Linked DNA regions of Caenorhabditis elegans. The protein of the gene in region 3 purifies or fractionates together with the protein of the main gene of each other region. This does not show direct contact. Each region holds a gene or a part of one and is shown on either strand. Other genes may lie near its edges.

What was found.
Region 1: the proteins of C27H6.8 (region 3) and ttr-51 fractionate together in Caenorhabditis elegans (co-fractionation; one large-scale study listed by BioGRID). This does not show direct contact.
Region 2: the proteins of C27H6.8 (region 3) and cdd-2 fractionate together in Caenorhabditis elegans (co-fractionation; one large-scale study listed by BioGRID). This does not show direct contact.

What each region holds. Positions count from the first base shown.
Region 1 is NC_003282.8:13,250,103-13,254,215, reverse strand, and holds ttr-51 (Transthyretin-like family protein), read left to right. Parts: upstream 1-1,904; coding exon 1,905-1,967; intron 1,968-3,143; coding exon 3,144-3,497; 3' UTR 3,498-3,561; downstream 3,562-4,113. Other genes in the region: JC8.7 (Zinc finger, CCHC-type), read right to left, coding at 3,723-3,842.
Region 2 is NC_003282.8:7,546,586-7,549,529, reverse strand, and holds cdd-2 (Cytidine deaminase), read left to right. Parts: upstream 1-1,636; coding exon 1,637-1,781; intron 1,782-1,877; coding exon 1,878-2,059; intron 2,060-2,104; coding exon 2,105-2,278; 3' UTR 2,279-2,412; downstream 2,413-2,944. Other genes in the region: oef-1 (C2H2-type domain-containing protein), read right to left, coding at 1-8, 60-289, 333-439, 484-592, 645-836, 880-972; pam-1 (Puromycin-sensitive aminopeptidase), read left to right, coding at 2,413-2,517, 2,627-2,944.
Region 3 is NC_003283.11:9,985,924-9,989,784, reverse strand, and holds C27H6.8 (MYG1 protein C27H6.8), read left to right. Parts: upstream 1-1,996; 5' UTR 1,997-2,032; coding exon 2,033-2,139; intron 2,140-2,234; coding exon 2,235-2,436; intron 2,437-2,482; coding exon 2,483-2,930; intron 2,931-2,982; coding exon 2,983-3,248; 3' UTR 3,249-3,354; downstream 3,355-3,861. Other genes in the region: rde-1 (Piwi domain-containing protein), read left to right, coding at 1-92, 133-247, 292-900, 962-1,444, 1,521-1,742; rmd-2 (TPR_REGION domain-containing protein), read left to right, coding at 3,508-3,665, 3,712-3,830.

The DNA.
Region 1 (4,113 bases), on a different chromosome or scaffold from region 3:
AAATTTTGAATTTTAGTCACTCAATTCGAAAGAAGCCGAGCCAAATGAAAAAGAGCCCCAAATGTTTTGTGTTTGTGAGAAATTGTTGTTGACAGAGGCGGACAGTTGTCCATTTTATTTTCCAATCTTTCTGATTACACTACTGATAACGATTAGGCTTCATGATTGGCATTTGTTTGATGGGAAAAGAGTTCACGAGCACAGACCGATCAAAGTTTCATGTGACAGGGAACTAGAAAACTAGACTTTTCTTATCAGAGAACGAATCAAAAATCAAGAGAATGCCGTTAAGTTAAAGGCGCACATGGGTCTCGCCACAATTTATTGGCGAAAAATTTTACTTGTAGTGTTATATTACCTAGACACGTGGTGTCAGGCTGTCCCATTGCGGTTTGATCTACAAAAATTGCGGGATTTTATTCCCAAAGAAAATGTGACGTCAGCACGTTCTTAACCATGAGAAAATCTGATGAGAACTCTGCATCTATGTATACTCCCGAATTTTTTGTAGATCTACTAAGAAAATAGGGGAAATCAATAGTAAGAAAAATTCCGCAGCAACAAGAGTTTGAAATTACAGTACCCGTAAAAGACGCACAACTTTTTGCATTAAAAAAGTTTTCGTGTCAAGACCAGGTACCGTATAAATAGCTTCGTTGCTGCAGGTTTGAGGAATTTAAGAATATCAAGAAGTGAAGAAAATTTGATGTTTTCTGATGAACCAATTATATTTTTATGCAAACTCGTAACAATATGAAAAAAATGTGAAAACTATTGTGTTCAGCCAATTTAAACCTAGAGAGATACAAAGACCTGTCCCGATGACTCAGAAAAAAGATCAAAAGTTTGAAAACATACATAGTGCGAAAATTCGTCATGGCTGAACTATTTTTTGGCAGGTACATAAGTTATAATAATTGTTGACAGTTTTCATTATTTCAATAGAATTTGGTTTCCATATATGTATAAATGTTTGTTAGTTTTAAAATATAAGTTTAGTTTCAACAATCAGCTACAGCCTAGAAAAAATCTCGGCCACCAATTCACGGGGCCGTGTAATGGGGTTATTAATGTGATGACGAAAAATGCAAAAATGTATTTTTATACAGTTTTTCCCCTATTCATGTGTGTAGAAAAATGTTAAAAAACGCATGTATTTTTCAACATTTTTTTACATTTTTCTACATCGTCGTGGCCGAAAATCAGTGGCCGAGTTTTTTCTTTTTTTTTCTGATTTTTCACAATATAGAAATCGATACCCACAAGAGCCCAGAAAAGGGGAATTTTATAAATCCGGAAAACCAATTTTCAAGAAAATCCCCCAAAATGATGAGGGTGGCCGGGGTTTCTCTTTCGCGGCCACGTAGAAAAAGTTGTGGGTACAGAGTACAGAGTCAGACAAAAAATTAAATTGTCTTGTCATGAACCAATAGTTCCTTTTATACAAATATCAGTATCATCCCATTTCCGGACAGAAAAGTTCTATTTTTGAATTTTCATGTTTTTCTTTTTCTTTTTTTGTTTTCCGATGATAACATCATTTTCCATTGTGACACTGAAATGTTTAAAAGTTCTTCGGATGAATCATTCTTGTGCTCTCTGTACTCTCCAAACTCCTATAAAAACTCCTCACTCCACCCCATTCTATCAATTCGAGACAGTTGTTCTTGGCAGAAGAGGCTCTCGGAGATTTAATATCAGTTATTTTCGTTTTATTTTTTAATTCCCACGTATCACTTGAATCGGGTCTTGGCACGAGCGAAACTTCGTTTTTGCTACAGTACCCCACGAGTACGGTAGCTGAAAAGATTCGCTTGAAAATCCAGTTTTCTCGCTAATAACCGTAACACATTCATTTTTTCAGGTTCAGAAAAAGTCTGATTTGTAATATGATTTTTTTTCAGATGAAGTACACTTTTCTTCTACTCTGCGCCATTTTCGGCTGCACTTTGGCCATGAGACAACAGGTTTGTTTTCTTGTTTTTCAAAGCATCATCATTTAGTCTTGCCGAAAATTCAGGCTGAGGTGTTCCGAATTATATATATTTTTTTTCAATTTTTGCGCGACGATGCACCATGTTTTACTAAAAATGAATAAAAAAAATAGAATCAAAGCCACTGAAAAACGTTTGCGCCTTTAAGAAATACAGTAACCCACTTCTCCTTATCGTTTTCAATTGGTTCTGGCTTCCCTCATATTTTGAAATGGAAGAGTTTGCCGAACTAGGTCATTTTGGCTCGGCCATATCTGGGGAGATTTTCGGCACGTTGCGTGTCGCGTCGCGGCTCGGTTTTAGTTGCAAAACTAAATGTAATTGTCCGTGTGGAGTACACGACTTTCACACGCGTTGTCCGGCAGGCGATTGTCAATGGAGCGCGAAAAATTCAATGAGGAAGCCCAGAACCCCGTATTTTCCGACAAAATTTAGAAAAATAATCAGAAATGTAGAAAAAAAAATAGGAAAGTTTAATTTTCAGTAATTTAATTAATAATTTCTTGCACTAAAATTTGGTTATTCACACAGAAGTGAAATTTTCAGATTTTTGTTTCGAAAATACAGTACCCGGTCTCGACACGACACATTTAAAATTTTGTTTTGTTAAATATAGAACGATGTGCGCCTTTAAAGAGTATACTGTAATTTTGAACTCTCGATTCTGCAGAGTTTTCATCGATTTTTCCTAGGCTTCTGATATAAAAATATTTTTTTTTTAATCGTGAGAAAAACTATGAAAAATCGATGAAAAATTCCGCAACAACAAAAGTTTGAAGTTACAGTAATCTCTAAAGGAGCACACCTTTTTACGTTTAACAAAAATTCGTCGTGTCGAGACCAAGTACTGTATTTTTAGGGAGCAAAGTGCTTAATTTCGTGTCTGGATGACATTTAAAAAATGAAGAAAATTGCGAAATAACGTGGTTACTGTACTATTTAAAGGCACATACCATTTTTCGCAGTCTCGATTTGAAAAACTTTCTCTCGTGGCGAGAGTTGGACTGTATTTGTCCCTAAAATCGTAAAACTTAAAAAATAATTAAAAACTGAAAGTTTAGGAAATTCAAAAAAAACTCCCAGTTTTTTTCAAAAAAGTCCTAAAATTCGAGTTGTTCCCCGACCTAATCCCAATTTCAAACATTCCAGTCAGTCGCCGTCTCAGGCAAATTAATGTGCGGAAGTAAGCCAGCCTCAGGAGTAAAAGTGAAGCTATGGGATGAAGATGATGGTCCAGATCCAGATGATGTTCTTGACGAGGGATTCACAAATAATGATGGAACATTCCGTCTTGAAGGATCCGAACGTGAATTGACAAATATCGATCCAGTGTTCAAAGTGTATCATGATTGTGATGATGGAATTATTCCAGGACAAAGAAAAATCAAATTCCGTATTCCAAACAAGTACATCTCGGCTGGTGGACGTGCTCAGAAAACCTTCGAGATTGGAGTCTTGAATCTTGAGACAATCTTCCCGAAAGAAGAACGTGATCTTTTGTAAAAACATCCCTTTTACTTTTACAATTTAATTTTCATAAAAGTTTAAAATAAAGTTTTTCAACAAAACAAAAATCATCAAAATTATACAGATAAACAGAGCAAATTGAAAGTTTTAGATTAAAAAAAAAGAATTTAGATTGTTTGTAGATCGGGAAGATGAGATATGCCAGGAAAACCTGAGATTTTGAAATTTCACAGAATTATCATGATTTGACAGCGGCTCAATTTAGGTAGCTTCTTCTTGTTGATCACGGAGGCTGAGTGTGAGATCGAGTATTTTCGCGAAATCGGGACGATGGAGATTCTTGTAGGCTATGTGAAGAGTTATCATCATTGGGTCGGCTACCTGAAACAATTTTTGTTGAAGTTATGGTTTGAAAATCAAAAATTAAAAATCTTTTTTCAAAAATTTGATTTTTTTAAAAGAATTTTCACATTGATAGTTTTCAGGTTTATAATTTTTTAACCGAAAAAATGACAATTTTCGTTTTTATTTTTTGATTTTCTGAAATAAAAAAATAGAGGTTTTTTTAAACGAAAAATCGAAAAATTTCCGTTTTAATATTTTTTTAACCAGAAAATCAAAAATTTTCCGATTTTTTAACGTTTTTTTTTGA
Region 2 (2,944 bases), on a different chromosome or scaffold from region 3:
CATTGGACCTAAATTTGAATCGAATTTTTAAAAGCATTTCTTCAATGTGATTTTCCTACCATAAGTCACGAAATTCAATTTCCACGTGGGTTTTATCGTGGTGTTCAGAAATATGTTCACATGGTGATTTCGACACAGGAAGAGTTCTCAAACAGTGGACACACTCATAGCGTTTTGCTATGTCTACATTGAGAAATTCCGATTCTGGGTGGGCGTCTAGAACATGTTCAGTCTGTTTCCTAATTTTTGTATTTCGGTTTCTACCGGTTTCCACTTCATGCTTGCACAGCTGAAAATTGTAGTTGAATCTGACGCAATTGTCGGGGTCTCACCGAACAATATGCCATATCAAGTTGATCTTCCTTTCCGTTTTCAACGATTATCGAGTCATTTGGTGTTTCAGCATCCATTGAGTTTACCATAAACAATTGCGGAATATCTGTTATCAGCGAAATATTAAAAATTAAATGAACGAACTCTTACTGTTTACAATGTTCTCTGATTCGTGATCATCCAAAACTGCATCTTCCTCGATGTTAGTTGGCTCGAGCAAAAGTTTCAACGCATCCGAGTTTTCGGCGAAAGTTCCGCGCTGAAATACTTTTTATTATTTTCGAACAATATTCGAGTTATTCAATCCTTACCGCCCATTTCTCTAATATTTCTTGGTTTGAAGACATCTGAATGGCGGGTTGGTTTGCTTCCGAAAACGGATCAACCGATTTCTGTTCCTCGGCTGTTTCTCGAAAATTAAAAGTTCCACTGTCCAATTTATCCAAATATTCTTTCATTTCTTCCGGAGTTGACGAGAAAATGTGATTCAAGTGATTGTTCGTCTAAAAATATGAATTAGGAAGAATAATTAAAGAAAAAACTCACCAAATAGCGACGAAGCTTTCGTGCAGCATTAATTTGTTCGATGTTATCATCGATACTCACAAGTACAAACCGTTTTCGCAATGATTTCGGCATTGTTATAAAAAGAGAGACAAGTTTGAATTGAGTTCGAATTCGTTCGCGAACGAACGTTCGTGGTCGACAAACTACGGTACGCTGGAGTACGCAATGAGATACGCAAACACGCTCGCGCATTTTTTTGACTTTTGTAATGCGCGCGCGCGCCACGGCCCGGCAAGTGGTACATCTATGCAAATGCGCTCTACTGATAATTTGAGTGTAGACCAGGTTTGGGCGCGTGATAATGAAAAAAGCTTTGGTCCAAAAAATTTAGAATTTAATTTCGGACATTATTTATATGCATCACAAAAAAACTGGACCAACCGTTTTTGAGATACACGCGCCCAAACGTCCAGGTATACGGTAGACAAATTGCGTACAGGTACCACTTCTCGGGCCGCGCGCGCGCAAAAATGTCCCGTGGATTTTTCATTTCACCAATTCTCGAAGTTGAGGCTGAAAAATAGTTGCAAAGTTCCCATTTTGTCATGTTTTTTTTAAATATAACGCGACCCGTTCACTGAATATGGGATTTAACGTCACTTTGCATGCGTTCCACAACGCAAATTCTTTTGTGTATTGCTAACTTTTCTCATCAATGTTGTTCTCTGTTCTTCTAATAATTTAATTCGCCTCATTCGCTTCTCATTTCATGCACTTTTGTCATAGTTAACTACAGATGGCCGCGAATAGTCTTCCTCAAGATATTTCCGATGTGGAACTAGTTCATTTGGCCCGAGCTGCGATGAAACGGGCACATTGCCCATACAGCAAGTTTCCAGTTGGTGCAGCGCTTCTCACTGAATCTGGGGAAATTGTCCAGGGTAATTTGTGATTTCTTGTCGTTGCATAACTCGAGATGTCTGCGGGCTTCTCAGTTTCGCAACATGCATTTTTGAAGTTTCTAGCATTTTCTGTAGGCTGCAATGTCGAGAATGCTTCATACGGTGGCACTATCTGCGCTGAGCGTAGTGCTATTGTTTCTGCTGTGTCACAAGGATACACGAAATTCCGTGCCATTGCTGTCGTCACTGAGCTCAGCGAACCTGCGTCTCCCTGTGGACTTTGCCGTCAATTTCTAGTTGAATTCGGTGACTATAAAGTAAGAAAACTAGAGCTTCTTAATTTTTCACTGTCATCGTTGCAGGTTGTTGTGGGAACTGCATCTAACAATAAAATTCTCATCACCTCAACTCGCGCTCTTCTTCCATTTGCTTTCACTCCTGAATCGCTCGACACTTTTGAGCAAGAAAAAGCATCAGAAGCTAAAGGATTAAAGCAAGATGATGCCACGGAGCATAACGTTACAGTCGTCTCTTAATTTTTTATTCCAATCAGAAACTCCTTTCCACATTTCCCGCCATTCCTAGTAGTGTTTTTTTTCATTTGTGATATCCTTCTCTTTCTTTCAATTTAGTTGTGTCAAAAATTCATTTTATTAATAAAACTTTTCAGAATGGCGGCCTGTGGAAACCCAAGCGCGGCGGTCAAATTTGAGAGGCTTCCAACATTCGCCGAACCAACTCATTACAACGTCCGTTTATCGCCATGCCTCAACCAGTAAGTTCTGTAATAATATTTCAGTTTAGCTAGGACGGCAGTAATAAATGTTGATATGTAGTTTAAATTTGCAACAAAACCACTTCAAGTTCTAATTCTTGTTTTTCAGATTCTCTTTCGATGGTCATGCAACGATTGACGTCACAATCAAAGAAGCTACTGATGTCTTGAAGGTGCATGCACAGAGTTTGCTGATTCAGTCGGTATCGCTTATCACTCAGCCAGGAGACGCTTCTAAATCTCTCGAAACTAGCTACGACGATAAGCTCAATATTTTGACTATCAAGCTTCCGACTACCATGCAGCCACAGAAGGTTCAGCTCGACTTCAAGTTTGTCGGTGAACTGAACGATAAGATGCGAGGATTTTATCGCAGTCAGTACAAGGATAAGAACGGCACCGAAAAGTTCTTGGCTTCAACTCAGTT
Region 3 (3,861 bases):
TTGAATGTGGTTCCCGAAAAAGAACTTTGCTGTGCTGTTTTTGTAGTCAACGAAACAGCGGGAAATCCATGCTTAGAAGAGAACGACGTTGTGTAAGTGTTTTCTACGTAGATTATTCCGAAATATTTTCAGTAAGTTCTACACCGAACTAATTGGTGGTTGCAAGTTCCGTGGAATACGAATTGGTGCCAATGAAAACAGAGGAGCGCAATCTATTATGTACGACGCGACGAAAAATGAATATGCCGTAAGTTTCAGAAAATTGAAAGTTTTTAAATATCATATTTACAGTTCTACAAAAATTGTACACTAAATACCGGAATCGGTAGATTTGAAATAGCCGCAACAGAAGCGAAGAATATGTTTGAACGTCTTCCCGATAAAGAACAAAAAGTCTTAATGTTCATTATCATTTCCAAACGACAACTGAATGCTTACGGTTTTGTGAAACATTATTGCGATCACACCATCGGTGTAGCTAATCAGCATATTACTTCTGAAACAGTCACAAAAGCTTTGGCATCACTAAGGCACGAGAAAGGATCAAAACGAATTTTCTATCAAATTGCATTGAAAATCAACGCGAAATTAGGAGGTATTAACCAGGAGCTTGACTGGTCAGAAATTGCAGAAATATCACCAGAAGAAAAAGAAAGACGGAAAACAATGCCATTAACTATGTATGTTGGAATTGATGTAACTCATCCAACCTCCTACAGTGGAATTGATTATTCTATAGCGGCTGTAGTAGCGAGTATCAATCCAGGTGGAACTATCTATCGAAATATGATTGTGACTCAAGAAGAATGTCGTCCCGGTGAGCGTGCAGTGGCTCATGGACGGGAAAGAACAGATATTTTGGAAGCAAAGTTCGTGAAATTGCTCAGAGAATTCGCAGAAGTGAGTTGTCTTGAGTATTTAAAAGATCTCTGGGATTTTTAATTTTTTTGTAAACTTTCAGAACAACGACAATCGAGCACCAGCGCATATTGTAGTCTATCGAGACGGAGTTAGCGATTCGGAGATGCTACGTGTTAGTCATGATGAGCTTCGATCTTTAAAAAGCGAAGTAAAACAATTCATGTCGGAACGGGATGGAGAAGATCCAGAGCCGAAGTACACGTTCATTGTGATTCAGAAAAGACACAATACACGATTGCTTCGAAGAATGGAAAAAGATAAGCCAGTGGTCAATAAAGATCTTACTCCTGCTGAAACAGATGTCGCTGTTGCTGCTGTTAAACAATGGGAGGAGGATATGAAAGAAAGCAAAGAAACTGGAATTGTGAACCCATCATCCGGAACAACTGTGGATAAACTTATCGTTTCGAAATACAAATTCGATTTTTTCTTGGCATCTCATCATGGTGTCCTTGGTACATCTCGTCCAGGACATTACACTGTTATGTATGACGATAAAGGAATGAGCCAAGATGAAGTCTATGTAAGCGTTTTGAATAGCAGTTAGCGATTTTAGGATTTTGTAATCCGCATATAGTTATTATAAAAAAATGTTTCAGAAAATGACCTACGGACTTGCTTTTCTCTCTGCTAGATGTCGAAAACCCATCTCGTTGCCTGTTCCGGTTCATTATGCTCATTTATCATGTGAAAAAGCGAAAGAGCTTTATCGAACTTACAAGGAACATTACATCGGTGACTATGCACAGCCACGGACTCGACACGAAATGGAACATTTTCTCCAAACTAACGTGAAGTACCCTGGAATGTCGTTCGCATAACATTTTGCAAAAGTGTCGCCCGTTTCAATCAAATTTTTCAATTGTAGATATTGTACTTACTTTTTTTTAAAGCCCGGTTTCAAAAATTCATTCCATGACTAACGTTTTCATAAATTACTTGAAATTTATTCTGTGTTTATTATTTATTACCTCTAAATTTCGTTTTGAACGTGAGCATCATATCTTAAACTACTTATTGATAACGGTTTCATAAAGATAGGTAATTTGATTTTTAAAATGTTTTCTCTCTGCAGGTGATTTCACGACTTCTTGGACAGTTCGGTCACAAGATGACATCGCTCATTGGTACTCACTCCGGAAAATTCCATTGCGATGAGGCTTTTGCTTGTTTCATGCTGAAACAATTGCCACAATTCAAGGATCATTCGATTTTAAGGTAATTCGATTTTTCATGTTTATCAAGTTTGCGAAATGACCCACTTTTTTATTAGGATTTATTTTATAGCTGAGTTCTGAAATCTGTAATTTCAGAACCCGTGACGCTGCTCAACTGGAGAAGTGTGATATTATCGTCGATGTCGGTGGAATCTTTGATCATTCAAAACAACGATACGATCATCATCAACGTGGATTCACTGATACCATGCGTACTCTAGAGAAGCTTAACTTTGATACAAAACTAAGCTCTGCAGGATTAGTTTACGCTCACTACGGGAGAGAAGTCATCAATCAGGTAACTTTCAATAATCAAAAGGTTGTTTTGAAACTATTAACTTCAGATCCTTGGTGGAAATGTGTCATCCTCGATGATTGATCTATTCTATCATCGTCTCTACGAGCAATTCGTTGAATCAATCGACGCCATTGATAACGGGATTTCTCAATACGACGGAGTTCCAAGATATCATTCATCAGGAAATCTTTCATCGCGTACTGGTCAATTCAATTCCCATTGGAATGAACCTGAGAATGATGCTGATGAACGATTCCAACAAGCAATGCAATTCATCGGTGAAGAGTTTTCACGATCAGTGAAGTACTTGGCAAATGTTTGGTGGCCAGCTAGAGAGATCATCGAAGCTGCTGTGGATAAACGATTTGAAATTGATGCATCTGGAAGGATCATTCTTATCGAGAACGGTGGATGCCCGTGGAAAGAACACTTTTTCGACATTGAAGTAGAGAAGAATATTGCCGACGATAATATCACTTACATTCTGTTCTCGGGTTAGAAATTATTTAATTTTTTAAAATTCAATAATTATTATCTGTTTTCTAGATTCTACCAATGCTTCGTGGCGCGTTCAAGCAATCCCAGTCGACAAAATGTCATCATTCGAGAATCGCATGCCACTTCCAGCTGCTTGGCGTGGTCTCCGTGATGACGATCTTTCGAAGGAAAGTGGAATCCCAGGCGGAGTCTTTGTCCACATTTCCGGATTCATTGGAGGAAATCTGACTCGTGAAGGAGCAATTGCCATGGCACGGAAAGCTCTCGAAATAGGAGAAGAGAATCCAGTGAAAAAAGCTAAATTGGGTAATTAGATCTAATCTATCTAAAATTAATTACTGTTTTCATTTGTTTTGTTTGAATTTGTCCAGCTGATATTTCAGTGATCCTTTGATATTTTATTACGTTCAATAAACTTCCTCCCCGATGTCACTTTGCTTTTCTTCTTTTCTTTTTCCATCTCTTACACTCCAGTTGTCTATAAAATTTGTCACGTGTCATAACGGTCCGGTTCTTGCCTGAATCTTTATACTTCTAAATCAGTGAGCCATTGGTATTTTCTAAGCTTAACAGATGACTACGCCGTCTACAAGTTCTGAAACTGTATGGAAATATGTGGGAATAACAGCAGCCACAGGTGCGGCTGTAGGTATATTTCTATACTATGCAAGAAAAGATGACCGAAATATCGTCGAAATCGAACGACTTCAGATGATGACCGAGGTTCTAGGGTATCAAAATGAAGTACGAAAGTTGTTTCAGAAAAAATAATTTTAGTGCCAAAGTTGACGATCTCGAAACTCTGCTGAAAACCATGTACGATGAAATCAAAAGTCAACGCGCACTTCGAACTTCTTTGAGTAGTGGAGCTCTCAAGACTGTATCTTTCAAATTAGGTAATTGAAAAAAAGTAGAAATATAAATTAT